Arabidopsis thaliana: one gene and its partners. The protein of the gene in region 1 purifies or fractionates together with the protein of each later gene. This does not show direct contact. Each region holds a gene or a part of one and is shown in the gene's direction. Other genes may lie near its edges. The genes, in order: AT2G07360, TPLATE, AT5G57460 and AT5G24710.

Evidence for each region.
Region 2: the proteins of AT2G07360 (region 1) and TPLATE fractionate together in Arabidopsis thaliana (co-fractionation; one large-scale study listed by BioGRID). This does not show direct contact.
Region 3: the proteins of AT2G07360 (region 1) and AT5G57460 fractionate together in Arabidopsis thaliana (co-fractionation; one large-scale study listed by BioGRID). This does not show direct contact.
Region 4: the proteins of AT2G07360 (region 1) and AT5G24710 fractionate together in Arabidopsis thaliana (co-fractionation; one large-scale study listed by BioGRID). This does not show direct contact.

The regions. Positions count from the first base shown.
Region 1 is NC_003071.7:3,052,927-3,060,113, reverse strand, and holds the start of AT2G07360 (SH3 domain-containing protein), read left to right. Parts: upstream 1-2,917; 5' UTR 2,918-3,014; coding exon 3,015-3,020; intron 3,021-3,103; coding exon 3,104-3,394; intron 3,395-3,622; coding exon 3,623-3,682; intron 3,683-3,777; coding exon 3,778-3,870; intron 3,871-4,108; coding exon 4,109-4,328; intron 4,329-4,663; coding exon 4,664-4,770; intron 4,771-5,008; coding exon 5,009-5,071; intron 5,072-5,544; coding exon 5,545-5,645; intron 5,646-5,807; coding exon 5,808-5,902; intron 5,903-6,019; coding exon 6,020-6,040; intron 6,041-6,178; coding exon 6,179-6,274; intron 6,275-6,399; coding exon 6,400-6,526; intron 6,527-6,600; coding exon 6,601-6,738; intron 6,739-6,885; coding exon 6,886-7,076; intron 7,077-7,187.
Region 2 is NC_003074.8:275,130-284,942, forward strand, and holds TPLATE (ARM repeat superfamily protein), read left to right. Parts: upstream 1-3,752; 5' UTR 3,753-4,041; coding exon 4,042-5,175; intron 5,176-5,279; coding exon 5,280-5,876; intron 5,877-6,044; coding exon 6,045-6,406; intron 6,407-6,494; coding exon 6,495-6,798; intron 6,799-6,900; coding exon 6,901-7,023; intron 7,024-7,180; coding exon 7,181-7,630; intron 7,631-7,709; coding exon 7,710-8,270; 3' UTR 8,271-8,522; downstream 8,523-9,813. Other genes in the region: AT3G01760 (Transmembrane amino acid transporter family protein), read left to right, coding at 19-141; BET10 (bromodomain and extraterminal domain protein 10), read right to left, coding at 453-713, 804-925, 1,023-1,089, 1,174-1,289, 1,373-1,456, 1,882-1,965, 2,052-2,100, 2,178-3,257; AT3G01790 (Ribosomal protein L13 family protein), read right to left, coding at 8,751-8,969, 9,400-9,511, 9,626-9,792. UniProt on the Arabidopsis thaliana protein: Functions in vesicle-trafficking events required for site-specific cell wall modifications during pollen germination and for anchoring of the cell plate to the mother wall at the correct cortical position.
Region 3 is NC_003076.8:23,272,005-23,279,344, forward strand, and holds AT5G57460 (muniscin carboxy-terminal mu-like domain protein), read left to right. Parts: upstream 1-3,105; 5' UTR 3,106-3,316; coding exon 3,317-5,257; 3' UTR 5,258-5,484; downstream 5,485-7,340. Other genes in the region: GS1 (Haloacid dehalogenase-like hydrolase (HAD) superfamily protein), read right to left, coding at 1-47, 150-210, 320-544, 818-896; XRCC3 (homolog of X-ray repair cross complementing 3 (XRCC3)), read right to left, coding at 2,004-2,918.
Region 4 is NC_003076.8:8,463,988-8,471,536, reverse strand, and holds the start of AT5G24710 (Transducin/WD40 repeat-like superfamily protein), read left to right. Parts: upstream 1-3,363; 5' UTR 3,364-3,616; coding exon 3,617-3,748; intron 3,749-3,833; coding exon 3,834-3,918; intron 3,919-3,999; coding exon 4,000-4,039; intron 4,040-4,129; coding exon 4,130-4,378; intron 4,379-4,693; coding exon 4,694-4,793; intron 4,794-4,905; coding exon 4,906-4,980; intron 4,981-5,558; coding exon 5,559-5,657; intron 5,658-6,054; coding exon 6,055-6,171; intron 6,172-6,252; coding exon 6,253-6,368; intron 6,369-6,455; coding exon 6,456-6,555; intron 6,556-7,211; coding exon 7,212-7,549. Other genes in the region: AT5G24740 (vacuolar protein sorting-associated protein, putative (DUF1162)), read left to right, coding at 1-20, 117-227, 311-415, 571-640, 773-1,464.

The DNA.
Region 1 (7,187 bases):
ATGCTTTTAATGATTGAGTCCAAAGCTTTGATATATAAGTGGAGTTTTACAAGAGACTTCTTAAAACAAATGCTAGTGACAAATCACCTAGTGAGTGTGGAATGTGGCCGTTTCTAGGAGAATGAGAGGCTATATTCTCTAAGTTCACTCATGAAATCCAGGATTGTTCAAAGCCAAAATGAACACAATCTAGAGAACTTGTTTTTACGAGAAAAAGTAGTTGGGTTTTACCTGTTGTCTAGGTTTACATAAAAATCTGGGTGGTTAAAGACATCATGTTCACCTCCTGGCCAAGTAAATTCGACAAATATTAACAGTGAATAGTTTAAGGCTGAAAAATACTACTATCTCATACACATCTATTTTTTGCATATACTCTTGAAAGTTGAGTCTGTAAAGTCTAAGTCAGTTTAGGTTATCGAGTCAGTCAAAAGTCTCAAATGTTTAGAGTCAATTTTATTCATGTGGGGGATTGTTGGAACTCAATTTTACACAAGTGGCTCCGGCTAACTCTTCGGTGATTTTTCCGGTGATGGCCATCACCGGAATGACCGGATTATGGAGTCTTTGAATTCCTTGTAATGAGCACTATAAGATAGTGTAGTTACATATAAAAATTGAAGTTATTATGAATGAGTAATTGAGGTCCAAAGTGGTGAGCTTGAAAGCTTATAATAACAAATATTGACAATTGTCCCATATTAGAAGTTTTAAGATCTCTCCTCTAGCATATATGGTGCTACCCATTTAACATGGTTCACTAGCTATTGGGAAGGGACACTATGGTGTAGGAGATGCAAGTCCTTTATGCAAAACAACACACACACACGCTCCGCCGCCGTCGTGCCGTGCCGAGCCGGGCTTGGGCCTTGGGCTCTTGGGAAATGGGGCCTTTGGCCCACAAACAATGTTCTTTTTGGGGAAAATACTTATGAGGCTTTGTTGCATTATTTGTAATATTTGCAACATAGTTTTTGGCCCAAAACGAAAGCCCATATCGTTTCCATAACTAAGGTATATTCGGAATATTAAAAGCATATCCGAATATTCCTTATTCGAATCTTAATTCCTTAAACGGTTGTGATAATGGCTCCGCTAATCATGCCCACGTCTTTGACTTGCGCATCACTCCGAATCCCACGATCTTTGATTTGCGGATTGCATTTCCTCACCTCTCTCCTATAAAAGGAACACATCTTCCTCTCATTGTACTCACTCGTTTTTTTTGCTAAAAGCTAAAACGAAACTCTCTCCCTTTCTCCCTTTCTTCTCAAAGTAAGTCAAGAGTATATCGTTTATTTCATGTTCGCAGATTCCGCTATCGAGTGCTGCGATACCGGTTTTATAGTGATTGTATTCTGCGATCCACTGCTCATAAAACCGTCACACTGCGGGAGCTAGTTTGAATTATGGAAAGAGATCAAATCTCGTCTTCACTCGTTTTCGAAAAACGTCTTTCCTAATCGTTTTATAAAGATTTTTGATTTATTGCAAATCAGGATTTCGCGGTCCTACAATCCATTCAATCATAATAGGAAGGATAAAAAGGGGAAAAATGTCAAAAAAATCGCGAACTTTCAAATTTGGGACAAAAAAGCATGAATTTTCGAAATATCAATTAAATACCAAAGTTATTGTTGACTTTAGAATTAATTAGATAACTTTTATCGATTTTGCCAATTTGGGCACGATGTTAAGTCAATTGACGGAAAAATTAACAGAGTTAAGTCTTCTGTTATAAATTCCGTTAACTTATGAAACAACGTTGTTTTGAATCTAATTTTTTATTACAAGTTCAGGAATTGAACTCGCAACCTTTAAGATAAAACAACATTCCTTTATGGGAAAAACGTCGAAAAAATCACCAACTTTCAAATTTGGGACGATTTAATCTTGAACTTCACGAAAGACAAATAAATCGTAAAGTTTTTGTTGATTTTCGAAATTAATAACAAAGTTATTGTTGACTTGCCATTTCAGTCATGTCGTTAAGTAGGTTAACAAAACGACGTCGTCTACTTCAACTTCCTTCTTCCGTTTTCTCTTCTTTCGATTTGATTTGGGCTGAGGAACATTGTTCGTCTCCTCACCAGATGGGATTCGAATCGATTCGGCCTCTATAGGATTTGAGATAATGAAATCGATTTGGGGATTTAGGGTTTAAATTTGTTTCAACAGAAGAAACGATGTTGTTTGTCTCTACAATAAACGACATTGTTTTGTCCTAACAGAGCAGATAAACGGAACATGAACGTCGTAAAAAAATTCTGTTAACCTATGTAACGACATGACTCAAATGGGAAGTCAACAAAAACTTTGTCATTTATTTAGAATGTCAACACAAACTTTACGATTTATTTGTCTTCTGTGAAGTTCAAGATTAAATCGTCCCAAATTTGAAAGTTGGGGATTTTTTTGACATTTTTTCCATTCCTTTACCGACTAAGCTGAATCATTTATTTGTTTGTTTCTCAGAAACATACATATTTATATAGGTTATAACAAAATGCCCAAATTAATAAAAGTTAGGTTTCGATCCCTTTGTCACAGTCACCAAATAGGCGAGTATCTTGCCGTCGTCAACTCATCGCATCCTACACAACACGAACTCAATTAAGTAGAAGAATATCTCTAGAACAAGAAACCTTAATTTCAGCACAATTTTCAGAACATGATCAATCTTTCCCTAACCAATTTCAAAAGTTTTTTCCAAGAGAAAACTTGATCAAAAAATGCAAAGATGATGAATTCTTTTTAATCGTTGAGGTTTACATCTTAATTTTTCGTCCCAAATTTGAAAATTTACCTTTATTTTTGACATTTTTCCAAAAAATACCAAAACAAAACTTTGGATGACAAATAAAAGATTCACGTGCATCTCACGTGCTTCGTGATAATTTAACAAAAGTGTAGAATTTTGATAATTTTGTAAAATTGTAAAGTTGCGTTTGTCTTGTTGAATCGCCCGTCACTAAAATCCTCTCCGAGAATCCTCCTCCGATCTGCCACTAGCTATGGCGGTAAGCATCGTCGGATCCTCACCGTATTTCACCGGCCAAGAATCGAATCCAAGTTTACCTTTCTTCCATTTTCCTCTTTACAGGAATCGTCTGGTACCACGCTAATGGATCTGATCTCGGCGGATCCAACCCCGGTTCCTGCACAATCTACTTCTTCGTCCGCATCTTCCACGGCGTCTCAGCCGACTTCTGCTTCCGCATCGTCTTCTTCCCATCTGCACCATCCAATGTCGACGAAGACGACTCTAGGAGAGAAGAAATCGAAGAGAGCCACTTTGATGCAGATCCAAAACGACACTATATCTGTTGCTAAAGCTGCACTGAATCCTGTTAAGGCCAATATCATGCCACAAAGGCAGAGACAGAAAAAGAAGGTTCGATCTACTAATTGAATTTTGTTTGGCACATTTATCTGTGTTTGAACTAAACCCTGGATCATTGGAGCTAAGAAAACTAGATTGTGGTTGTAGATTTGAATTGTTAATAGGAGGTATCAGTGTATATAGAGTCTCTGTTGTAAATAGAGTCTTAGTGAGTCAATATACCTATGTCTTGTTCTTCGATGTAGTTAACACGACTTTATGTTGCAAATGACTTCCCAGCCGGTTTCCTATTCGCAACTTGCAAGGAGCATTCATGAATTAGCTGCCACTTTGGATCAGGTTTAAGTTTGTGTTCTTATGCTCTGCCTTTATACCTCTCTTCTTCTGCTGAAAATAGTATCTGACTGTTTCTTCTGTTTTTCGCGAGTGAGCAGAAAAGTTCTCAGAAACAACTAGTGAATCACGTGTTCCCTAAGCTTGCTGTGTACAACTCAGTTGATCCTTCTCTGGCCCCATCTCTTCTTATGGTATGTGTCACTGGTTACTCATTTGACGACCAGATAGTGTCAGATCAAGTACAGTTTCTTGTATCGTTTTTTATAACTTTATGATGGAGCATCTAAAATGATTTGTTCTATTAGAGTTTTTTTTTTCTCTACCCATTAAATTATCATGGATCTTCACAAATTCGCATTTTCAAAAACAATATCCGTCAAAGAGAGGCATCAGGTTTTTAGCATTCTTTTTCTCTTGTGATTGATACAGCTTAATCAGCAATGTGAAGACAGGAATGTGCTACGATATGTTTATTATTACCTAGCTAGAATTTTGTCCGATACGGGCATGACTCCAGGGGGTGGTATCCCCACTCCTAACTGGGATGCTCTAGCAGATATTGATGCTGGTGGAGGAGTCACAAGAGCTGATGTTGTTCCTCGGATAGTGAATCAACTTACAAACGAAGCTACAAATTCTGAATTTGAATGTGAGTTTCACTCGCATTTTTCAGGCTTTAGTGTTTTATTTTATACATTTCTGCCTTGGACTGTCTTAATCTTATTTATCTTTATAATGGTATTAGTTGTTAATGTTTTTTAAGAAATATCCCAGTACCTTTATAATTTTCTTTTGATAGACCCAAATGCTGAGAGGAGTGACGTCAAAAGGTAGTTATGTTTAGATGTGGTGTCAGTTTTGGTATGGATTTAAATAATTTGGGGGTTATGGAAGTGAGAACCAACATCTAAGATAGATTTCCAACTTTCCATCTGTAATGTGACTGGAGATGAATTTCTAACCTTATCATATGTTTTTCTTCAGTTCATGCTCGACGACTGCAAGCTTTGAAAGCTCTGACATATTCACCATCAGGCAATTCTGAGCTTTTGTCAAAATTGTATGAGATTGTATTTGGCATTCTTGAAAAGGTTTGTCTGACTGCCAATGCTCTATGATTTTTAACAAGATGCTTTGTTTATTTTTAATAAACCCTGGCGTAGTTCATTGTCTGCACTCTGCGTGATTTAACCGTAGTCCCACCTTTTCTTATTTATATACAATTATACTATTTTATTCTTATTGCTTTTCATATGAGTGTGGTTTAATTTACGGGGGTTTTCCCAGTGACATGCAGAGGCCCTGATTTATCTTTCTTGTCGCTTTCAGGTTGGTGATGTTCCGCATAAACGAAAGAAAGGTGTATTTGGGACAAAAGGGGGTGATAAAGAGGTATCTTTCTAAACTCTTAGGTTCCTCCAGGAAAAGACTTAAGGCTTATATACTAGTCATGTTCCTGCACTTTATAATTTTCTTTTTTACAATGCTCTGCATGTTCTTTGCCTGCTGTAGGGTAGAAATTTCTCAAAATTCTTGTTGATGACTGCATGCATTAGGCAGTGTATCATAGTTGCTCTATAATGATATGAGTTTGCACATCTGGAGACTCTGGCTATTAGCTATCAGATTTTTAAGGCCCGAGTTAAATGTTATTTGAATTAATAAAACCATTTTTTTAAAACATTACAATTCTATTCGTATATCAGATTATCAATAAGCCAAAGGAACAACTTTGATAACTTAGCTTCTAGATATGTAGGCAGACGAATAGAATTCTTCCTCACTTGAGTATACAGCTTCTGGATTGCAGAAGGTCAACACTAAACTTTGTTATTAACTTGAGCGTTTTATCTCGTTTTTGTTAGTCGATTATGCGAAGTAACTTGCAATACGCTGCTATGAGTGCACTGAGAAGACTCCCTCTTGATCCAGGAAATCCACTTTTTCTGCACCGTGCAGCTCAGGGGTAAGACTTTTTTTTTGGTTCTTTCTACTATCTTTTTAAGTATAGAGTATTGGATTTAAGTATAGTGATGTAGGTTTCACAAGAGCAATTGAATTTTTGGTCTATTCCTAATTATGCAGTATATTGGACAGTTATTCTCGTATTCACACTTTTATGTTGCAGTGTTTTCTTTGCTGATCCTGTTGCGGTGAGGCATTCACTGGAAATTCTATCTGAGTTAGCCACAAGAGACCCCTATACAGTAGCAATGACATTAGGTAAATAATTTGTTCTATTCCCCCTTATATTGTTTTTTTCATTCTATTTCTGTGTGTAGAGACATAACTGTTTTTCATTCAAAACTTGATATGTGTCTCTTGATCTTTTTGCTGCAGAAAAGCTTGCGTCTCCAACAGGTATGCTCACCAGGCCTTTTATCTCTTGACGTTAATCTTTTTGCTGGTTATTTCGTGTTTATTTGTGCTAATTATAAAGAAGTGTTTGGAACACGATCTGGGTTAGCTGATATACCTTTCTTCTGTACACCAAATTAGGGGCTTTGCAAGATATCCTGCATATGAATGATGTTCTTGCTAGAGTTTCTCTGGCTAGGTTGTGCCACTCAATATCTAGAGCTCGGGCATTAGATGGTAAGTACTATCAACCTCTTTCTGCTGCCCGTTCTCGCTCTGTTTTTTTTTCTTCTTATCTGGCTATATGGGAGAGATCTTTTGAGAACTTACATGTTGCTAGTTTCCTTTCAATCTTCCTACAGAGAGGCCTGATATTAGGTCTCAGTTCAACTCAATTCTCTATCAGCTACTCCTAGATCCAAGCGAAAGGGTATGCTATGAGGCGATTTTGTGCATTCTGGGAAAACACGATAACACTGAGAGGCATGAGTTCTATGACTTTGATTTCTCTTAGTTCATTCTTTGTAAGGTATTGAATAACCAAAATGTACTGCATCATTTAGGATGGATGAGCGTGCTGCTGGGTGGTATCGCTTGACGAGAGAGATCCTGAAGCTGCCAGAAGCACCATCCTTGTCCTCCAAGGATAAATCTAATAAAACCAAGCGTCCACAGCCCCTTATTAAGCTTGTAATGAGGAGGTACTCCTAGCTTGGTGGAAGACTGTGTTTAGAATTGCAGATCTTATGGATTCCCTTTCCTCACTAGAATGTTGCTTTGGATTGTAATGATCGTTATGGTTGTGTTTCTTGTTAAAGAACTTTCGCAAATTGATCCTGTTCTTTCAGGTTAGAGAGCTCATTTCGCAGTTTCTCAAGACCAGTACTTCATGCAGCAGCAAGGGTTGTGCAAGAGATGGGAAAGAGTAGAGCAGCAGCGTTTGCTATGGGATTACAGGACATTGATGAATCCGTTCATGTAAATGCATTTTCTGATGCTCTAGATGATGCTGAGACCAATGAAAGTTCTCATCCAGAAGGTACATTGTCAGTATCCTCTTAATATGAATTACAATCTTTTTTTTTTATTTTGTTAGATGTCTGACAGATGCACAAATATATTTCTAATTTCGTATGGAGCATAAAATTGT
Region 2 (9,813 bases), on another chromosome or scaffold:
TCTTTTTTTTTGGAGCAGTTTTGCATCATTTTTGGGCTTGTGCTGATGATCATAGCACCTATTGGGGGACTGGCCAAACTAATCTATAATATTCAAAAGGGCACTCTACCTAATTCAAGATGCAACTTACCTAAACACTGACGATTGCCTTGTAGGTAACATAAATTGGTTGGACGCAACAATTTCGCTGGTACTAGAGTCTAGAGGCTCTATTACCAAACTCGAGTGTAAATCTATAGAATTAACTCTGAGACATGCTCCCTCTCTCTCTCGGTGCTGTCGGTCATTGGTTTATTGAATTAACCAAAATTTTACTCACTACACAAAGTGTTATTGATTGTTTACTCGGATAAAATGCCATCGCATTGGTTAAATATCAATCTAACTATCATTTTTTACAACAACTCATGTACACTTGACTGCTGTTATCCAAGACACAACACTCATGAATCTCAGTCGATTTCACCCTCTTCTACTTCATTGCCGGGATCTGGAAACGCAAGCATGTCGGATTCATCTTCATCCTCCTCATGTTTCATAAATAGCCCCAGCTGCTCTAGAGGATTACTTCCTCCAAACCCAAATACAGCCAACCCATCAGACTCAGAGCCAACATCTCTTAGATTTCGTAACTGGTCCGTGTTAACCGTTTTGAGCAGTTCTAGGTCCTTGAGAAACCTTGTGTTCTCATTTATTTCAACCGACTTCTCCATCTGGTGTACCATTCAGTCATGGCAATGATCAATATACATGTATTGCAGTTTATAAAACCAAACTGGTACAAGGCAGCAATTTTGATTTACCTCAAGCAATGCCTGCCGGGCTGCTTCTCTTTCAAGTTCCAGTTTCCTCTTAGCCTCTTGTGCCTCAGCTTTTCTACGAGCTTCTTCAGCTTCCTTGGCTTCTGCTTGTAACCGTGCTTTTTCTGGTGCACAAAACAATAAGAGGACAAGTTTATGTACGTATATACTACTTGGTATATATCATCAATCAAAAAATCGAAACTAGCAAATCAAGAATACCTTTCTTCTTTTGCAATTCCAGTTCTTCCTTCTCACGTTGCAGTGTCTCTGGGTCTCGTTTCTCATTCTGATCTCACAAATATAATTTTGAAAGTCAAAGAGGGAGGGCTAACCAGATATAACAGCTCACACCTCCACAAACACAGCTAACCTGATTAAGAGTTATCTCTTGAGCCTTCAAGATTATATCCGCAAATCGATTTTTCAATAGAGCAGCCCTGTAACGCTTTTCTGGAGGTAGTTCCTTCTCTTTTGGAGCACTATTTCCTAAATTATTAATGGGTCAAGAGTGAGATGCCACCCTCAGATATTAGAGCACAGATATTTTTCTGCTACACTTCTGAGCTTACCATCTTGATGACCATCTGCCCCCTCAATAAGACTTAGCTTCCCTCTGGATGCATCTTCCATCTGATTCAATCCACCGACGGAATCTGCTTTTAGAAAGGGAATAAGAAAACCAAGGTTTATTAATTAATATCAACAAAACTTAACATCTTTTGCACCAAAAGAGGAGTAATCACTGATTAGAGATAATATGATCACTATAGAAAATAGCAAACAGCGACCTGGGAGTAAAACAAGCAGAAAATGTAACAGGTCTATCACTATCATACTAGGTGTGTAATATGAGTTGCTATCAGTAAGGTCAGTAAGTTTCACTCCAAAAAAACTACAGAAGTAACATTGAGTATTCTAGATGGACGGCCACTTCTGACAAGAGGGAAGTAAAATGGTTCCGAGGGTTAAGTACATATAAGAATTGCAAACATCAAACGTCTGCAAAAGCTCCATAGAGAAAAAGACAAATACAATGTAGCAAGATTAAACAAACCACTGTAGTTCTCTAACGCCATACCTTTTTCTGTTCTGACAGTTGAGATGTGAGATATAGGGTGCTCATAATTACCAATGTCAACATCCTCGTCCTCCAATTCACTCCCTGCAAGTAACGAGGAGGAAATGACAGCTTAATCATAGAGTAGGACATGCGAATTAGCTCAAACAACAAAACCAGTGTATGCTAACCATCACAGTGTTGCGTCAATGAATTTCCTGGCCCTGACCCATGTAAAAGCTACATCAAGAAAGTTTTCGCTGTTTATCAGTCATGTTAACAAATGGATCAAGAATGAGATATAGAAAGGTGATTACCTCTAACACACAGGGTTCACCGTTTGAATCTTTCTTTTGATTTTCTCGCAGAAACTCATCAAAGAGATCCCGCAACTGGAACAAGGCATCATGACTGAGATCATTGATGTCAATCTCTATCTCATCATCTCCAGATCTCTCTTCCTTGGAGCTGTGATCTCTCAGGAAATTTATTATCTGTACAGGGAATTCTGTCAAGGACCCCAAATCTCTGCCAAGCTTTACTCTATCCTCATCTGTCATAACCCGCTTAGCAGGCTCTAAGAGGCTGTTACGTTTCACAGCATTCATCTTTCTCTTCTTAGCCACAGGCTCAGGTATCGCAATATCTTTGTGAGCAAGAGTAGCCAAGTTACTTGGTTCAGATTTGGTTCCGGATGACTTCTTCTCGATAGTTTTCCATCTCACTTCAAAAAACTTGCTGAGAGTATCAGCGAAGCGATACACATTATTATCTGACGGGTTATAAGTCATAGCATTGCGGAAAGTAAGACGGACATCAGCAGAAAACTCTGAAGGGCTTGAATACGTGCCGGAAGTTAACTTGCTTTTAACAGTTCCTAAATCCATAGGATGTTTGATAATGGTGAAATAATCAGGAATGTTGAGCTTGACGACGTCCACAGGGGTATTAAAGAGCCAACAATGCTGCTGCGACATCAATCGTTTAAGGAGGCTCTCACATTGCTTCATCCGAAGCATAGTGGAAGTGGTGACTGGCTCTGGTTTGGTTGCTGTGAAGGGGAGCACCCTTTTTCCAGGGCCAGTAGAGCATCGTGACATTCCAAAACTCTTGGGGCGAGACACATTACTTGCAGGTGTACTAGTAACAATCTTAGATATAGGAAGAAGGTCCCCAACACTCTTCTGAAAGGACCGTAGTTGTTCCAGCTCCTGACGAAGCGTATGAATCCACTTTCTCCTTTCTGATGATGACAAGTCAGACAAGGGTAAAACTATTCTCGGGACACCAAAAGTTTCATCATCCTTGGAAGCATTGGGGCTATCATCACAGCCGCCGGGAGAGTCAAAACTGTTACGATTATAATCTCCTGGGAAACCACCGTTCCTCACAGTCATGATATCGCCCACCGAAGTGCGAACCTGCACAAATCAAAATATTTAAGTCAGTTTTGAGAAACCCTAACTATGAAAACCTGAAAGCAATTCAATTCTTAGAGCCCTATAGTATTGCTGGAGGAGAGCAGTGAACACTCAATATGCATAAAAAAGGAAATTCGGAACTAACCAACTCGAAACACTTAGCAAGCGATCGAACCGGAGCAGAAGTAAGAGAACCGAGGAACAAGCGTAAATCTTCTCCAGCAGAAACAGATTAACGCTAGAGATTGGTGTAGAAGATGATGATGAAGAAGAAGATAGAGTAAAACCCTAGAGTGGAGACGAAGAAGACGACCGAGAAGTAGAGAGAGAACAAAATCGCTCTCTGCCCTCCCTTCTCTAGTGTCCCGTCCCTAACGAATGCTGCGTCTAACGCCGTTTTGCTACTGGGCAGGACTCAATCTGGACCGTCGGATCTGATCCCTCGAATTAAAATCGAATGCAAATACTTCGGTGCATAAAAATAATATCCTGGGCTTATAATGTAAAGCCCAATGAACTTTTTAATGTGCCTTTATTGGGTCTACGGATGACTCAACACGGCACGCTGTGAAAGCTCGAATCGCAGGAACGGCACGCGCTTTTTTCCTTCGAAAACAATTTCTTCTCCTTCTTCTTCAATTGATGGTTTGATTTACACATCCTTCTTCTTCCAGTTCCATGTCGCATACGTACACAGATTGACAGCGAAGCTAGTTAGCTCAGATTTTGGATCTCGAATTTCAGTTAATTCGATCCGGTTATGGACATTCTTTTTGCTCAGATCCAGGCGGACCTCCGTTCAAATGACGCGCTTCGCCAGTCATCGGCGCTTCTTCAGGCGCTGCAGCAATCCGCCGCCGGAAGAGATATCTCTGTGATCGCTAAGTCTGCTGTGGAGGAGATTGTTGCTTCTCCGGCTTCAGCTGTTTGTAAGAAGCTGGCATTCGATCTCATCCGATCTACCCGCCTCACTCCGGATCTTTGGGACACCGTTTGCTCAGGTGTCAAAACGGATCTTCATTTTCCGGACCCGGATGTTACCGCCGCTGCCGTCTCCATCCTTGCGGCTCTCCCTGCCTTCTCGCTTCCTAAACTCATCTCTGATTGCAGCTCTGAGATTGCTTCCTGCTTCGATTCTCCATCTGACAACCTTCGTTTTTCCATCACCGAGACACTTGGCTGCATCCTCGCGCGTGATGATCTCGTTACTTTGTGCGAGAACAATGTGGGTCTCCTCGACAAGGTCTCCAACTGGTGGGCTCGGATCGGCCAGAACATGCTCGACAAATCCGACGCCGTCTCCAAGGTTGCCTTTGAGTCCGTCGGCAGACTCTTCCAGGAGTTCGACTCCAAGCGGATGAGCCGTCTTGCTGGCGATAAGCTCGTTGACAGCGAGAACTCCCTCGCCATCAGGTCCAAGTGGGTCTCTTCCATGGTTGACATTGTATGGAGAAAGAGGAGCGCTTTGATGGCTAGGTCTTTAGTCCTTCCTGTCGAAACCTTCAGAGCCACTGTTTTCCCTCTTGTCTTTGCTGTCAAAGCTGTTGCTTCCGGTAGTGTCGAAGTGATTAGACAGCTTTCCAAGGCTTCCTCTGCTGCTGCTGCAGCTAATGCCACCGTTGTGGACTCCAACGCCGAGAAGCTGGTTGGCGTCTCAGATTTGGTTACCCATTTGGCGCCATTCTTGGCTTCCTCTTTGGATCCAGCTTTGATTTTTGAAGTGGGAATTAACATGCTCTACCTGGCAGATGTTGCCGGAGGCAAGCCAGAGTGGGCTTCACAGTCCATTATTGCAATTTTAACACTCTGGGACCGCCAAGAATTTTCCTCTGCTAGAGAGAGTATAGTCAGGGCCGTTGTTACGAACCTGCACTTGCTTGATCTGCATATGCAGGTATGTCGTTTTTTACTTCATTTAAGCTCGGTTAGTTGTGTACCTTTGTCTTGAAGCTGTGGCCTATGATTTCTGAATCATTCTTTTTGGAATTTGTTACGAAGGTTTCGTTGTTTAGAAGACTGCTGCTTATGGTGAGAAACTTGAGAGCAGAATCGGACAGGATGCACGCATTAGCCTGTATCTGTCGGACAGCTCTCTGTGTTCACCTTTTTGCCAGAGAAAGTGCCCGAAGAGGTCAGAAGCCTCTGCCTGGGACAGATATTATTTCTCTCTTTGAAGATGCAAGGATTAAAGATGATCTCAATAGTGTTACCAGTAAGAGCTTATTTCGGGAAGAGCTGGTGGCAATGCTTGTGGAAAGCTGCTTCCAGTTGTCTCTACCTTTGCCTGAACAAAAAAACTCGGGTATGGAGAGCAGAGTGATTGGTGCGTTAGCATATGGTACTGGTTATGGTGCTCTGAACTGGACAGAACCAGCCCTTGAGGTTGTGGAAGTTTGTAGGCCTTGTGTCAAATGGGATTGTGATGGCAGGACGTACGCTGTAGATTGCTATTTGAAATTGCTTGTTAGGCTGTGCCATATCTATGATACCCGTGGAGGAGTGAAGAGGCTGAAAGATGGTGCTTCCCAGGATCAAATATTAAATGAGACACGATTGCAGAACTTGCAACGTGAGCTTGTTAAGGATCTCCAAGAGGTAATTAAGCCTCAGCTGAAAGTTAGAAGTAACCCTTGGCAATTTTCCTCGAAGAATTTTAGTTAGGCTTTCTTAAGTACTATTTAATACTAAATGTGGAGGAGAACTATTGCTTGTGGACTGAAACGTGGTCAATGTCTTATAAAAATCTTGATCTCAATTTGGCAGGTAAATACCCCAAGAATCCTCGGGCGTCTTATATGGACAATCGCAGAACATATTGATCTAGAAGGTCTAGATCCACTTTTAGCTGATGACCCCGATGATCCATTGAATATTATCATAGCAAACATACATAAGGTTCTCTTCAACTTGGATGCCGCTGCTACTACATCGAATAGGCTACAAGATGTTCAGGCAGTCTTATTATGCGCCCAGAGGATGGGATCGCGTCATGCAAGAGCTGGCCAGTTATTAACCAAAGAGCTTGAAGAGTATAGGAACCATGCTGCTGCAGATACAGTTAGCAAACATCAAACCCGTTTAATATTGCAGAGGATCAAATATGTTTCAAATCTTCCTGAAAGAAAGTGAGCTTTCCCTTGGCTTGTAATCCTTTTATTATGTGAGTTTTACTGCATTTCTGGATTGGAACTCAGACAACCTATTATTTTCCAGGTGGGCTGGAGTTAGTGAGACAAGAGGAGATTACCCGTTTAGCCACCATAAGCTTACTGTTCAGTTTTACGAACCATCAGCTGCTCAAGACAGGAAATTAGAAGGTCTAATTCACAAGGCCATTCTCGAGCTTTGGAGGCCAAAGCCCACTGAATTAACTCTCTTCCTTACAAAAGGGGTCGACTCAACTTCTATCAAGGTTCCTCCCACAGCATATCCTTTGACCGGAAGCAGTGATCCTTGCTATATAGAAGCTTACCATTTAGCAGATACAAATGATGGAAGGGTCACTTTGCACTTGAAGGTTGGTATATATTCTACTGTATCATCCTGCAGTTACTTGAATACAGTTTTAGTGGATAAAGTTTTAGCGTCTCAACACCTTATACTTTATGTTACCTTTCAGATTATTAATTTGACAGAACTTGAACTGAATCGTGTGGATATACGGGTTGGATTATCTGGTGCCCTATACTTCATGGATGGCTCTCCTCAAGCAGTGCGGCAGTTGCGTAATCTTGTCTCACAGGTTGCATGTCATTCTTCAGTGCTTATATACTCCCATCTCTTTACAGTTCTCTAATTTCTTAAGTCTTGTCAGTTGGAAACCGTTTCTGTTCTTACCAATCAATCAGTTTCGTATATGTTAGCTGTATTATCATGGACTCTGTGATTTACTTTTGTAGGATCCTGTACAATGCAGTGTCACCGTTGGTGTGTCCCAATTTGAAAGATGTGGTTTCTGGGTTCAAGTCCTCTACTATCCATTCCGTGGTGCTAGGGGAGAATATGACGGTGACTACATAGAAGAGGATCCACAGATCATGAAGCAGAAGAGAGGTTCAAAAGCAGAACTCGGAGAGCCTGTGATCTTAAGATGTCAGCCTTACAAGATCCCACTGACTGAGCTTCTTCTACCGCACAAAATCTCACCAGTCGAGTTCTTTCGTTTGTGGCCTAGCTTGCCAGCTGTTGCAGAGTACACTGGCACATATATGTATGAAGGAAGCGGCTTCATGGCGACCGCCGCACAACAGTATGGGGCTTCACCATTTTTAAGCGGACTCAAATCATTATCCTCGAAGCCATTCCACAGAGTCTGTTCCCACATTATACGCACAGTTGCTGGCTTTCAGGTGAACTTGGTTCTGTTATTCTTCTTGTTCCTTAACTGGATTGATGGTCTGATAAACCCCTAACTTGATGTCACTACAGCTTTGTTACGCTGCAAAAACGTGGCATGGAGGTTTTGTGGGTATGATGATCTTTGGCGCTAGTGAAGTGAGCAGGAACATGGATCTGGGTGACGAGACTACCACCATGATGTGCAAGTTTGTGGTTAGAGCATCAGAAGCATCAATCACAAAGCAAATAGAGTCGGATATTCAGGGATGGTGTGATGATCTAACTGACGGGGGCGTTGAGTACATGCCAGAGGACGAAGTGAAGGCAACCGCGGCCGAGAAGCTGAAGATCTCTATGGAGAGGATAGCTTTGTTGAAGGCAGCTCAGCCGAAGAAGACTTCAAAGATAGAGGAGGAATCAGAAAACGAAGAAGAAGAAGAAGGAGAAGAAGAAGATGATGATGAAGAAGTAAAAGAGAAAAAGGAGAAAGAAGAGGGAAAGGACAAGGAAGAGAAGAAGAAAAAAGAGAAGGAAAAAGGAACATTTTCTAAGCTGACAGCAGAAGAAACAGAGCACATGGCGCTTCAGGCAGCAGTGCTCCAAGAATGGCACATCTTGTGCAAAGATAGAAAATATACCAAAGTTAACTAAGAGCGAGAGTACTTTTTTCTCAGATGAAGCTACAACAATCTTTGTTTTCTTTTGTTGTGTGTGGTTTCTTCGTAGGTTTAGATGTTTTGTATTGTTGTTGGTGAAGAAAAGAAACAAACCAAGGATGTTACTATTGCCCTTTTTTACGAATTCTTCCGTCTTATTCACAAATTTCACACGTTTATGGAACCAAGGATGCATTTACCCATTTTCCATCAGTAACATTCTGTAGTCATGCAGTGTTTGGCGTGAGATTGCTCTGTTTTTTGCAACGAAGAAAACTGAAAGATAACCAGAAACAGATCCATGTTTAAGGAAGATGGTTTTGGCTTCATTTGTGATACAGTGTTTGAGATCCAGAAACAGGTTTATTGTCTGAGAAACAAGAAAGCCTTAAAAGCTTATCCACGTCTGCATTATGAACTTTGCTTACAAATAAAAAGACAGTCACATCACTAGCTTTCCTCTGAAGTAATTCCTCTACGCAGGTACTTCAGAGAGGGTCCTCTTCTTTCCTTTCTTTACCTCTGTTCCCTCATTTTCTGCCTGCTCTGCCTTCTTCTGCGCACGGATCATTGCTCGCCTTGCGCGCGGTCGCATCTCTCTAACTCTACGAGGCGGCATCACAAATGGCTCAAGTGGCTTGTCCCCAAAAGGATGCTCACCGCCTTCAAATATCCTCAGCTTCCGATCCCTGTCCTATACCCACACAAAGCAACAAAACCTCAGCACATTCTTGTTTTAAGCAACACATCCTAAACTATGCGAGCAATTCATTTAGGAGCTGAGAAGCGAGAATGTATCAGTACAAACAAGCCACTATTCCCACCAAAGATAAAGGACAAATAACAAAATGGTAAAACCAAGAGTTCAGAACAATCTTCCTTCCAAACCTAAATGATTTTCAAAACAAGGGTATATCATCTCATTCGATAAGACCGATTTGTGAGGAGAGACAACCTTTCTAGACATAGGACACCAAGAATCTCATTCCACACAACTCATGATGGATATCAACAAGTAAGAGTAAAGCCAAGGTGTGGGGTAATATCTGTAGCCAGAAAGTCAGGGATCTAAAAGACTGAGGATTCAGGTGATTAGAAAATGTTTCAGTTTATAGTGTACTCACATCACGCAAATTGTTACTTGGAAGCATGCGCCAGACAGCCTTACGAATGACCTCTGTGGGATCTTTGGCCATCTGATCTTTCAGACTCCGTTCCTTCAGGTGTCCGATGTACCTACAAAGAGAGATTAAATAAAGTAGATGAAAATGGGAGATACTAAAAGATATGATAAAACACTTGTAGTAGCTGAAGATTCACAGGAGCATTAAAAGAAAGAGTGCAACTTGCCCAGTATGCCAACGGTAGAATTTGTCAGTGAGCTTTCTTCCTGTGAAGCCGATTTCCTTAGCATTGAGAACAATACAAATATCGCCATCGTCGCGGTTAGGACAATAAGTAGGCTTATCTTTGGCTTGAAGCACGGTTGATATCTGGGAAGCTAGTCTACCAAGAACCTAGAGTAGACAAGTTATATT
Region 3 (7,340 bases), on another chromosome or scaffold:
GCTCTCTGTGTCTTTGGGTTTTCAGATCATAATGCCGTGTGTGAGTACTGCAAGCGTACAATCAAACATAACAAGTCAGTTTCTGGATTGTAAAGGACAATGAGAATGCAAACTAAATGGTATATTATGAGATGAGGTGAAGAGATTACCCGGTAGCAATACATATTGGAATATTCTTTACATGGAGATGCTTAATGAGTCTACTAGCCCCTGAAAATGTGGAAGAGAATTGGTTCATGACCACATCAAAAACATAAATATCCGTACATGTAATCTTCCTGTGAACCAAATGTCATGTGTTACAAAAAGCAGAATCTACCTGGCATGAGCTCACTAGTAGGGAAAAGGTCTTGCAACATTGACTCTCTCTCGACAAGAAAGTCCTCAGCTGAAAGAGAGTCGCTAATCCCGCTTTCTTCAACAAAGATCCTGGCAGCTTCTATTGCTTTTCTACCCATCATTTTAGCCTTGAGAGACCAATCAAACTTTTTATTGAACCTAGCAAGTATAATCTCTTGGACCTCAGTGTAAAACTTCTCAGTATCTGCAACAGAAACCAAATCAGCATGAATGTATGCAGCAAGAGCAGATAAGCCAATGAAGTTGTGAGATTTTGAATACACAGAACAAAAACTCAATCGCTCGATTTCCGATCAGATTCAAGCTAATTGCTTTAGCATCTTAACATCAATTGTATGAAATCAATCCTGGAAACTAAACAGTCACTACTAAAAAAACCATCAAATCTAAACAACGATAGTGACAGTAGTACGATCTAATAAAGCTGGAGATTGAAGATCAGATGCAAGGAGATTACCGAGAAGAAGACCGTCCATGTCGAATATGACGTGAGTGATTGATCCTCTGCCGGCGGTGACGGCTGCAGGATTCGACATTGTTGATTCGATACCGATAACGACGAACCGAATCCAGTTTCAGTCGGAAGTTAGTTTTTACGCTGGAGAGTGATGTCACTATGACGTATAACAAAAGGTTCATGGGCCGTATCTTGTAAATGGGCCGGTTCACATAGAGAGTAGAAGTTTTGCTCATAGTGAAGAGTGCTAATAAGAGATGTTGAAACTTATACATTGGAACTAAATATGTTTAGTCTTCTTCTATACAAAATAAAAGTGAAGATTCGTATACAGAGCTTTTGTTAATCCAAAGACCAACAACGGCCAAAAAATTTTTCCTCTTGTAGAGCTCCGTCGTGTCCTTCAGATGATTCAATGGTTGTTTTTAGCAACAGCCTTAGGCGGAATCTCTCATTCTTGTATACATCAGAGGCTGAATTGATCCTCTCGAACTGCAGTTGATTCCTCTGCCACTGAATAACCACGGAAAAATAGAAAACAATCGAAGTGTTAAAGATCTTTTAGCTACAAGTAATCTGTTTTAACTCCATTTGCTTACCAATAGGACAATGAAGTATGTTAACTAGATTAATTACTTATGGCACTTATGAAGGCATGCATCATCATATTTTGTGGTTTCAGTCATTTTCTGGTTAGAATCGAGAAATTAGCTACAGAGTTCAAGTGAAAATAAATACAAAAACCATATCCACCAGGATGATCAACACTACCTATTCATAAAGATATTACGGCCAGATATAAAGATCACATCAGCAATTTACTCAACAAATGAAACGATTTGAAGATAGCAACCAAGTGGGAAATTTTCGACTTCGTGCAAATTCAATGATGCAAAGAAAAGAGAATCAGAGAACAAAGTGAGAAGCTTGCAGTAGACTTAGGAGCTAACAGGAATCTTTTAAAAAGCTTTATTATGAATAATTGAACATAGAATGCTTATAAACTAAAAACAAGCACATATCACATCTAACCAAGAGGAGGAATCCGAAAAAATAAACCTGGCTTTGCTGCAACCCATCTCCGGATCCTTCTGCAATGTACATAAATAATGGCTAATGAACAAATACTCCAAAAAATCCGGTGATGCTTCGAACAAAAACTATCCTACATAGCACCCGAGTTCACCTACGCTTGAACCGCACAAATCCCCTCTCGTGTGATCATGAACTCGCAAGAACTCCCAGGCAAATAAGGTGAAAACACTATGTCAAGCCGTCTCTTAGCACTTCTGGACACAGAACTTGAACAATTCTCGTCCTTTTCACTTCTATCTTTAACAATACTACCATCACTTCGTGAAATAAAAAATCTGGAATTCACACAATTAGCCCAAGCCAAGCCTAAAGAAGGAACAACTCGTCTTCCAGACGAATACAAATACCTCAAATTCCCAATCCTCAGCCCACTTAACCCATCAGAAGTTTCAACCAAATCCGTAACCTGATTCGTAATCACAATAGCCAAATCAAACTTGCTAGCCAACTGCTTCAATTTCCCAGATATCTTGAAAAACAAAGAAGATCTCTTCTTAAGATCAGACGGAGTATTATCAAACTCCGATCTAAACAATGCCGCTACAGAATCAAGCACAATCAACTTCAACGGAAACCTAGTTTTCGAATTCCCAACAAACCCATCTATCCTAGGCATTATGTCGAACAGGTGGTCTACAGAATGGACATTTTGTACAAACACATGATCACAAGGATTATCATTGTAATTCGCGTAAATACTAGGGTTTGATTGATGAAACGTGTGCGAGAGCTGATGGAGACGACGAAACGGAAATGGGAACTCTGAATGGAGATAAAGAGAAGAACCGTTGAGTCCGCCGTGTGAAATCGGAAGTTGGGTACAGAGCGAAAGCTGAAGGCAGAGCTGTGTCTTTCCGCAGCCACTCTCCGCAACGATTTCGGTTAAAGAATCGCAGGAAATTCCGCCGCGAAGACATCCGTCGAGGATTTCACAGCCTGTGGTTAGTTTACGATTCGTCGGCGATCGTCGGAGGAGATTCTCCGGCTTAATTTTCCCATTTTGCATTTCACCGCCAAAAGCTACCAATTAAAAAAAAATCGCAAAAGTTATAAGCGCTACAAAATTTAAAAAGACCTAATCGCGTTAAACGACATCGTTTTATCATATTATTGGGCTTCTTACCTTGACATTAGGCCCAATAAGTTAAGAATAAACGTCTACTATTGGGCTTATTTTCAAACCATCGCATTAGGTCCATGCAGGTAGGATACGAGTAATGAAACAAACGACGTCGTTTTCGAAAGAAACAACGAAGATCTCATTTCTCTTTCTCCTTTTCTTCTCCGACGATTCTTCTCAGTTCTCAGATCTGATCGATTTCTTCATCAGATGTTTCAATCTAACCATTGAGATTGAATAGTCACCATTAGTAGAAGCTTCGAGATCAATTTCGAATCGGGATCATGTCGTGTTTAGCCCTAGCTCTGCAACCAGCAAATGGATCCGACATTTTGCTCCAAACTAGAGAATGGTTTCCACCAGCAAGAGCCTTAATCGCTCTCTCGTATTTTCGTCAAATGCGTCAAGCATTAGCGTCCTCGAAGCAGCAGCATCAGCAACAATCGAATCAGAAACAGAATCAAGCTTCTTCTTCTTCTTCTTCTTCTTCCTCCGTTGCGGATCCTGACGATGCCACGGCGGCGGAGTTTGTAGGTGATGATCCACTCGCTGCTTCTAATGGACAGGTTATTGTTGGTGTTGAGAGCAAGTATCGTGTAGTTTATAGATTAGTGAACTCGATCTATATCCTTGGTGTTACTGTCGCGGATCATGATAATTCGATCAATGTATTTGAGTGTATTCATATTGTGAATCAAGCTGTTAGTGTTATTGTTACTGCTTGTCGTGGAGTTGAAGTTACTCCGGAGAAGCTTGGACGGAAGTATGCTGAGGTTTATATGGCGCTTGATATTGTTTTGCGTGGTGTTAGTAATATCCGTCTTGCGGCGATGCTTGGTGCTATGCACGGAGATGGGATTGCGAAGATGGTTCATTCGGCTCTTGATACTGAGAATAAGATCCGAGGAGCTGATAGTTGGATGGCTGTTGAATCGCATGCGGCAGAGCATCAAGCTTCTGTAAACGCATTTTCTAATGCAAGATTTGAATTGCCTCCGGAGACTGTTGCCGCTGGAGATGAGTTCGCGGCGAGCTTGGCTCCAGTGGTGCCTGAATCAGAGCAATTGAAGGAAGAACCAGAGCCGGAGAATAAGGATCCTTTTGCGGCTAGTGAAACGATTAACAAGGAGAAAGAACTTGTGGGTGGATTCAAGAAGACTAAGGATCCGTCCTCAACGGATTTGACTTTGGCATTGGCTGGACTTGAAGTGACGACATTACCTCCAGCCGAGGCAACACAGTCTACGCACATCAATGTGGAAGGATTCGAAGGGCAGTATGGTGGGATTGAGTTCAGCAATGAACAGGCTACGATTGGAGAAACTTTTGAATCGTTTAGTGATGCTTGGGGAGGTGGGTTGGATCCTTCAGAGTTTATGGGACCAAAGAAGATTCAGAAGAAGGAAGGACTCGGTGGGCTTGAGCTGTTGCACACCAGTGATCCGAAAGCAGTGGAAGGCAAAGATGGAGTTAATATCGATAACCTAGTTAAGAAGCCTGAGATGAAAGGTCCTGAAATGTATATCTCTGAGGAAATTAGAACCGAGTTTAGAGAATCCTTGCTTGCTAGAGTAGGAGTAATGGGTGTGATCTATCTGAAAACGATGCCACCCAAAGGCTCTGGTGAAGAGAAAGAAACTGAGTTCTCATTCCGTGTTGAGGGTACTACTGCAGTTAAGAGATTTGCTATGCAGAGTTCTCGGATCAGTAGCTTAGGGAACGGTTTGTTTCACGTGAGAACTGCTCCATCAGAAGAACCAATCCCTATCCTTAAATATAGCTTGCAACCTAAACTAACCCCGTTGCCTCTTAGAGTCCGAATGGTGAAACGAATCAGCGGGACTTTACTCTCACTTATGATACAATACGTCTCAAATCCGGATCTACCTCAGCCTCTGAAAAACGTCGACTTTATCCTAAAACTCCCGGTTGATCCCACATTGCTTAAGGTTTCGCCTAAAGCAATACTGAACAGAACCGATCGAGAACTGAAATGGCAAATTCCGGAGATTCCTCTGAATGGAAGTCCCGGGAGACTAAGAGCACGGATGCCTATCGATTCAGATAACAGCGAGGAAGAACCAGATATCATCTGCTATGTGAAATTCTCGGTACAGGGAAATACTTCTCTGTCTGGTATCAGTCTACGTGCAGCTGCTGAGGGAAATACAGATTTCTTTGAGGTAGATCACAGGTACGAAACCGGAGTCTATATGTGCAATTGATAAAAGTTTCTCTCTAAAAGATTTACATTGTTTATAATTTTCTCTAATGTTCTTGAGTTTGGCCTTTGTTGAGAGTTATTCTTTTTTTTGGTATGTGTCATGTAAGGTTTTGTGTACTTGTGTATCTTGACCTCTCTTCATTGTTATGTTATCTGTTTTACTCGATTTGCTTTTACATTTTTATATTATTGAAATGCGGATTACAAAATTTAAGTTTATCAAATATACTTTGCAAAATGGTAAAGTGGAAGATTCTCCTAATTGTTGTGATGAAAGTATCAAAATAATTGTGGTGGTTGTTGAAGTACAAAGGCTATTATTATGTAAAGACAATCACAAACATTTTGAAATTGTTGATCTCTAAATATCATATTACATTATACATAACAAACTTAAGACAGTAAAAAGTATAGATGTTTTGATTGATCAGAACATGTAATATAGTCTTGAGTACTAAGGTTGATATAGTGTCATAATCTAGTGCCCGTTTGCAAGTTGTCGCAATTTTTTTTGATGTAAAATAGTGCATGCAATGACCTATTTTTTAGTGACATTAACAATAACCACTATGGTTCTAGTATCATCTCCCTCGAATAAGGCCTTAACCCCATTAAAGATTTACACTATGGTTTTAGTATGATCTCATCTCCCTAGTATACAACACATTTTGTGTAGCTTTACTATACATCATGTTTATTTTAAAAAGTGGGATTGATTCCACATGATTCTTAACATATAGTCATATAGATCTTGCTCCTGTCAATTACATGATGCATTAAAAAAAATCAGCTGAGTATATTAACAATTACGAAAAATACTAATCTCACATCATACCAGCGCGCCGAATTAAATCCATAGAACATGTCATTCTTAGGTCAATTATCCACTATGACATTTCTTTATTTAAAATGATAATGTCATGTGGGTATTAAGCACCAAGTACAATCCATTCCTAACTACGGGTTACAAAATTAAAATATCAATAATAATTTACATATTTGTCTCTTATTTGTAGAGTGACATGTCTAGTTGTCCAGATTTAATATAATAAACTAGTTGATTAATAGCAATTGCTTGTAAATTACTCAAAAAGTAAGCAGAAGCTGTGGGATCCTAAACACAAACCTCTAAAGAGATGATGAAAAAAGAGATATTGATCAACTTGGCCTACCAAATCGTCAACTTTAAGTCTTTAACACTTCACATTTGATTAATAAAACATATAATTTGAGTGTTCATTGACATATAAGAACGTATTATATTGCAAGCTAAGGGATGAATTCTCAACCCCAACCGGCCATACCTAATATATGACAGCTCTATTTATCACTACACAAAAAGGACCAATTATTTGTTTGGTTTTACACCTATTATAACAATCACTATATTACATAAAATGGCGAGTACATGCTATACACGAAGGTCAGTTGGAGCAAGATGTCTGAAAACATTTTTAAGTATTCATTATTCAATAATGTCTTGACTCGAGAATCATGTGTCTTCACTCTTCAATAATAATCCATAGTTTTATCCGTCTTGTTTATATGCAAAACAATAGTAGCCACTGTATTTTCAGTATTTTAGTAGATGAGATTAGGTGTTTGGGTTATTAGCCTCTTTAAGACTGGATAACTTATGCATTAAAATTATTAAAAGTTTTAATTGCTTCCAAACCTTCTACAATAAACATATCACCATCCCACCCAAACACCTGGTATATGTGTATAGGCAAAATACTAGTATTTAAATATTAACATGCTATTGACTAACACATGGTTATAGTTTGACAAATATTTGGTCCAAATTATTTTATGCATAGTGATAAATGCTAATGGCACCCAATGAGATCCACTTTTGCATTTCCCATTCCCCACATAGAAAAATCTTCATCAACCATTTGCCTTTTGAAACTCCCTTTTTTTTTTGGCCAAATCCTCTTGAACCTCCTTTTTTAATCACTCTTCTTTTTACTTCAAAACTTTTCTCATTGTAGCACATTTTTGTTTCTTTCACTTTCTAACTTCCGAGTTTCATACTTTCATGTTTCATCTACTTGTAACAACCAAAAGAAGAAGAAATATCA
Region 4 (7,549 bases), on another chromosome or scaffold:
CCAGCAGGAGTATCTCAAAGGTTATGATTAAAATCTCTTTTTGTTGCTTAACATTTTCATGTAATGTCTGGTTTAGTCACTTTTAACTTATATGCTAACCTAGATTACTTGAACAGAGCCCAGCAGGAATTATTCAAGGAATGGCTCACGGAACCACAAGTCTCTTCAGTAGCACTATTTATGCTTTAAGTGATGCTGCCACTCAATTTAGTAAAGCTGCACACAAGGTACGATGCATCTGTTTGCTTAAAAATCTATGGTGTAGACGCCTCCTTCAAGAAATATTTACAGAATTACCAATTCGTTGCAGGGTATTGTTGCATTTACATTCAATGACCATGATGTTGCAAGGATGGAGAAGCAGCAATTGGGTGAAGGATCGCGTAGCAAAGGAGTTATAGGTGAAGTGTTTGAGGTATGTTATTTGCACTTTCTTTGGAAGTATGTCTTATATACTGATTTGATGTTCACTTAGTCTTGAAAGTTACTTGAAGTCAGTGACTTCTGTCAAATTCTTCTGAACTTGCATAAAGAATTTAAGCATGCCAGCTGACACGATGTTCATCACAGGGACTCACTGGTCTCCTTCAATCACCAATAAGAGGAGCTGAGAAACATGGTCTTCCAGGCGTTATCTCAGGTATTTAAGCGAGAACCACCGCTCAAGTCATCTATAGACATTCAAGACATTTGATGTTCGTGTACACGCTGTCCTTTTGTTTCTGGCTTTCTAATTTTATGCATGTTAACTGGGTGCCTATATATGGTTCAGGAGTGGCCATGGGGATTACTGGACTTGTGGCCAGACCAACCGCTAGTATCCTTGAGGTAACTGGAAAAACCGCACAGAGTATAAGAAACCGAAGCAGGATTCATAACATAAGATCCCAAAGGCATAGGCTTCGTCTTCCGAGGCCTCTGAGTAGAGAACAACCTCTCAGGCCTTACTCATGGGAAGAAGCGGTCGGGACAGCAGTACTTATGGAGGTTGGAGATTCCCTGAAGTTCAAGGGCGAGAAGCTGGTGAAGTGCAAAGCCCTGAAACAAGAAGGAGCTTTCGTTGTAATCACAGGGAGACTGGTATTGGTTCTAAGCAGCCTGAGCTTGGTAGATTTCAGAAAACAGGGATTTCTCGGAGTTCCAATAGATTTGGTATGGAATATCGAAAGAGAAATCGGTTTGGAGAGTGTAATACATACAGATTGCAGCGGTGGAGTAGTCCGCATCATAGGAAGCAATTCAGATGGTGTATGGAACTGGAGACAGGACCAGCAAAAGAAGAGCAGCCCGACCAAAAAACGATGGAACAATCCTTCAGCACAGCCGCTTCTTCAGACTAACTTAGAGTTTCCATCGGAGGAAGAAGCAGAGGACTTGTTGAGTGTGTTGTTATCGACTATTGAAACTGGGAAAAGCCGGAGCTGGCACAGTCGATTTGTTTTAAGTCGAAGTAACATCACTTAAACCGGAGACTTGCGTACATAAGAATACAGTAATTCTTTAATTTTCTTTGTGTACAAAAGTGGCTTTATGAAACTAGTTTTAGAATATATGGTCTGACATGTTTTGGCTATAAAATTTTTTTTAAAAAAAAAGCGTAATAAATCGAAGTGTATTGTACATGGATTGTCAGGCATCATCATGATGCTCATATATGTGGCATCATCATGGTGATGCTGTTTTTCATGCGGGAGAAATGTTTTTACCAACATCAAATCGTATTGCTGCGGAGTTGAGAGGGATATTATGGGTACTACACAGTCTATGTGATCTACACTTCTATAATATTGAGATTTGGTCCGACTATGGTGCTCCTATGGAAGCCATTAGTGACCCATTAGATTGGCCACGTATTTATCTTATCTTGATAGGATTCATTGGTTTCTCCCGAATTTTGATAAGATCGTATTTAAGGTTTCATCGCACGAGATATAGCCACAAGCGTAATGAGAGAAGGTCGATGCAGATCATATTTAGCTCGTGGAAGTCCGATGTGGTTACACTCGCATTGAAGAAGACAAGCGGCGTTGATTTTATTGTTCTTTATTAAGTTAAGATCTTCTATAAGTGTATGAGGAAAACAAGTTTAGACGGGAAAAACAAAAAATCGAAGTGTATTGAGTAAACTTCAATGAAACCTGTAAAGAAAAAATTAAATTAAATTGAAGATTAAATAAGACTTTAATTTTGATTGCAAATCTTTTTATCGAATTCTAGATTTAGTTGTAAACATAGTAAACCCTTATTACACCAAATACTATAGTCATTTTGTTTGAGATAATTCATTTGGAATTCTCTTTAAAAGTTTAGTGATCGGAGGCTTCTCGATTTTCTCTCTCTTCTCTCACTTGAATTTTTCAGAGAAAGAAAAAGCGATTCATGGCAAGACTCCGTCCAACATCGTTCGGCTTCTTTAACGACGATGGTTGGTTCGTTTCCAGCATCAATTGGCTTCTTTAGTGGTGGTGGCTGGCTTTTGTATCCGGACGTGGTCCGGCTTTGCCGTCTTATCTCGCCGTCTGGTTTCTACTTTTCTCTTTAGTGGAATCCGGCTTTAGTTTCCAGTTCTTTGATACCGGTTTTACCTTTCTGCTTTTCAATAATCATTGTGATCTTAGTACCAATTTTTTTTTGGGTTTTCCTTATCATCCTCTTTTCTCAAGCTTTTTTGCATCCTTATTTAGATGAAAGTCAATCTTTGTTTCATTTCTAATCTTTACCTTTTGGGTTTTAATCAACTATTAGAGTTTGTTTCAACCTAAATCGATTCTCTCAATCCTTTGATTTAGAATCTCAATTCGGCATATCTGGTAAGATTTAATCATCAAGAGAAATCATGGTTTTTTATTTCTCTTTTGTCATAGATCGTTGCTGTTCTGGAGAAATTTAGATCAAATATAAACTCTGGATATTGTGGAGCAGAGAGTCAGATTTACAAGCGTGATGAGATTGTCGTAGAGGAAATGGTGGGTTATCGGATTTGATGGTGGTGCTGGGAGATAACGATGAAACAATCATCGGCGTAAGAGAAAAGTCACATCCACGTGTCGTATGTTGCTTTGACTTGTTTTATTAGCGCTGTACTCTTTACTACAAGGTGTTTAGTTGTACCCTTTATGGATTTGTGAAATACTTTGATGACTGGGCTTTAGTGATGTTTGTAAACCCATAATTTGAATAAAAAAGAAACTTATGAACAAGAAAAAAAAAAGTTCAGTGATCCAACGGATCCACAATTAATTTCCGTAAATGGAATATATTTTGCGACAAAGGAAAGGGCTAAAACAATTGTTATTGGGCCTTTTTTTTTGGGTTAATCAGACTAGCCTTCGCAAATTCGCGCTTTACGCGTTTCGCGTCTGAAGACACTACCGGAGTTTTTGTTCGGCGATTGTAGTTAGTGGTGGTGGATCCGGGCATTTCATTTGATAACCGCGGTGGATCTAATTGATCTGGATCTGACCATAGCCCTGCTTGCTTTTTCTGGAAATTTTTAGTGTGTAGCTCTGGAGAGTTTCTCGTGAGTCGAATCGTCTATGCGGATGCAGTTGTGCTCAGATTTTTGAGTTGTCTAATTGATCTTGAAGAACTGTGAGAGAGAGAGAGAGAGATCGAAATGTTGCGGGCGAGAGCATTTCGGCAGACCAATGGTAAGATTGTGAAGATACAGGTACATCCTACGCATCCATGGCTTGTTACGGCTGATGATTCAGATCACGTCTCCGTCTGGAATTGGGAGCATCGTCAGGTCTGTATCGAGATTCTGATTTGATTTTGGTTCCGGTTCTGATTTCGAATCGTGGATCTGTCAACGTTTATGTCTATTGTGTTAGGTAATTTATGAATTGAAAGCCGGCGGAGTTGACGAGCGCCGTTTAGTTGGTGCCAAGTTAGAGAAGCTCGCCGAAGGAGAATCCGGTGAGCCATTGTTCTATTCTGGTGAAATGAGTATGAGTTTCTGATGCTTTATGTTCTTACTGACATTCGTATTTTCCTCAGACTATAAAGCTAAGCCTACTGAAGCCATTCGAGGAGGAAGGTAGTAGATAGATCTTTCTCGCTGCTAATTCAGTTGCTCCTTTCGATAATGAGAAAAATGACTTATCTGCTCAATGTTTGCACCTACTAGCGTTAAGCAGGTGAAGTTTTATGACGATGATGTGCGTTATTGGCAACTGTGGCGCAACCGCTCCGCAGCTGCTGAATCTCCATCAGCTGTCAATCATCTGACATCTGCTTTCACTTCCCCTGCTCCATCGACTAAAGGCCGTCATTTTCTGGTCATTTGTTGTGAGAATAAAGCTATTTTCTTGGATTTGGTGACAATGCGTGGTCGTGATGTGCCAAAGCAAGAGCTTGATAACAAGTCACTTCTCTGGTAAGTTCATTGCTTTTTCTCTAATTTTAGGATATGGGTTTGCTTGACACCTGGACCCCGGGGAAGATGCTCCATTACTTTAGGCTTCCTATCTTTAAATCACTTGAATCCTGGAAAGACCTCCGTTAGTTACTACGCTGGAAATATTTGAGTCAAATGTAGACTAGGCATAAGTGTAATGGATATGTGTGTTCTAAGTGTAATGGATACCAGGCTTCCTTGATGTTTAATGTTCAGTCAATGGCCAAACTCCCTTTCTACATTTTTAATTTCTACTCCTCCTTAATGTTGCTAGAATTCTTCCTTTCTTTGCAGCATGGAGTTTCTTTCGAGATCATCTGGTGGTGATGGCCCTTTAGTTGCATTTGGTTCAACTGATGGTGTCATTCGGGTTTTATCAATGATAACATGGAAGGTTTGTTTGTTTCAAAATTATATTTTTTTTTTTTGGTTTCTCTGCTGGGTTTAGAGTGAGGGATTTTGATACTGATCTGTGTTAATTTCCTTGAATGTTTACTTCCTTGCAGCTTGCACGTCGATATACAGGTGGCCATAAAGGATCCATTTATTGCTTGATGAATTTCATGGCATCATCTGGCGAAGTAACTACATATTCCCTATATATGCCCTCTTTATTGCTCTGAATTTATTTCGAGTTATTTACTTAATATGTTAATAGTTAATACCATCTGATAGATGAAAGTGTCATGTAACTTAGAAAAACATACTCAAGATCACCTACTAAGATCGACTGTATATATTATATGAAAACGAGGTCTTGAGCATATCGTCTTGGAAGTTTCCTACATATATCTCTTTCTTCTTAGCGACGTAAAAATCTCACATTCTACTAAGTGGGAGTCCAGACCGCAGCAGGCCTTACTATACGGATACCTGTTTTACAATCCAAATATCTAGCCTTAGTTTCTTAGATCATCTGTACTCGGGTTAAATTTCATGCATAGCCTAGGCATTAGGAGCGGCGGGAATTTTAAACATTGGCATCTCTTTTCCCAATTGCTTGTTTAGGTTATGTTAATAGCGAATTTCTGATAGTACTGGGCTTTCTTCCCTTTTATATAACTTGACGTTTTTTAATGAATGCTTATCAAGTATTTTCTCTCTGTTATTTATGTGCAATACATGATACTAGCCATCCTCTATCTAAATGCAATTGCAGGCACTCCTTGTTTCAGGTGGCAGTGATGGCTTACTTGTACTGTGGAGTGCCGATCATGGCGCTGACTCAAGGGAACTTGTACCCAAGCTTAGCTTAAAGGTACTCAATTATGCCCACTCTTTCATTCAAAGTTCAAGAGAGGATATTACCATGACCGTTCAATTCTTAGGCCTGGAAAGATTTGCCAGATTTGGTTACAGCTGAGGCTAAGGCACCATTGTTCTTAGTTCCAGTGAACCTTCTGAATTGATTTCTGTGTCTGTTTCTGAATGTTGGATACTTGCATTTAGATATTCTTTCATTCTTTTTATAAAAGGCTGAGTAATGATTAGGGGACTATGACATGCTCGTGCTTTTTTTTTTTTTTTGGTGTAATAGACATGGTCATGTTTGCTTAATTGAGTGGATAATTTCCACTTCTCTGTTATACTTTTTTTTTTTTTTTTTCCTAATCCCTTCTTGGCTTCTTCTAATGTTTTTGTTCTGATTGTATTAGGCACATGATGGTGGGGTGGTGGCTGTTGAGCTGTCAAGGGTAAGTGGGAGTGCTCCACAATTGATTACAATTGGGGCTGACAAGACATTGGCCATATGGGATACAATGACATTTAAGGTAATGGTGTATCTCATGTATGGATTTTTCATATTTTCCCGATCTCATTTATTAACATGCATATCTACTTTTATTCTACAGGAGCTACGTAGAATTAAACCTGTCCCGAAACTAGCTTGCCACAGTGTTGCATCTTGGTGTCACCCTCGAGCGCCAAACCTTGATATTTTGACTTGCGTTAAAGATTCACACATATGGTATCTTTGTTTAAGATTTGGTATTGTATATGGTAGAATATATTTATGTATATTAGATGAGTGGTCTAATTGTTTGAATTTTTGCAGGTCTATTGAGCATCCAACTTATTCGGCCCTGACAAGGCCGTTATGTGAACTTTCTTCCTTGGTTCCGCCTCAAGTACTTGCAACCCACAGAAAACTTAGGGTAATTAGCTCATTGTTGATGAAATCCTCGAAATCTACCACGTATCATATCATTTCTTTCTGCCTGCTAGTTGTATACTATATCAATAGCTCATGCTCAAGCCTGAGCATGAGCATTGCTCTCTGAGGCTCCATTCTATGTGTCCCACAAAACATTAGTTTCTCTTCTTATCTCGTAAAATGCATCTATTATGGTTCAAATGATGAAGTTGTGTAGCTGTATAATATTGCACTTGGCAATGCAAAGGTATTCTGACTCAAGTAGACTAGGAATAAGAATAAGAATAGAATACAACTGTTTGTATTACTTCTTGCAGAAAAGTTTTGTATATAGCAGACTTTAAATTGATAGCTGTTTGAACACTAAATTTATCTAAAAGAAAATTGCAATGGAGAAGATACGTAATCTTTATGTCAGATGGTGATAGGGAAAGCACATGCTGCACCCGAAAGTTGAAAGTTATTCCTTTTTCAGAATTTGCAGATAATATTCGGGGTTCATTTTCTACTTGAAACCGCCAGTTGATGATTTTCAAAGATTGCTAGTTTCTTTATTGCATAATTATAATAGCATTGCTTCTGTACTTCTTTCGCTTTCATGGCTTCCATACATTGGTAGTAACCCTCATCAGGTACTTATTAATTTCCATTTTTTAGGTCTATTGTATGGTTGCACATCCTCTACAACCACATCTCGTCGCAACTGGTACCAATGTTGGTATTATAGTTAGTGAATTTGATCCTCGTGCTATCCCGTCTGCAGCTCCTCTACCAGCACTGCCTGGAAGTCGGGAGAATTCAGCTATATATATCCTTGGAAGAGAATTAAAGCTCTTGAACTTTCAACTATCCAACACAGCCAACCCATCCCTTGGCAATAATAGTGCCTTGTCCGAATCAGGGCTTTCTAAGGGAGACCCAGGTGAACAGTTAACTGTAAAGCAAACCAAAAAGCAGATCGTGGCACCAGTTCCACATGATTCATACTCAGTTCT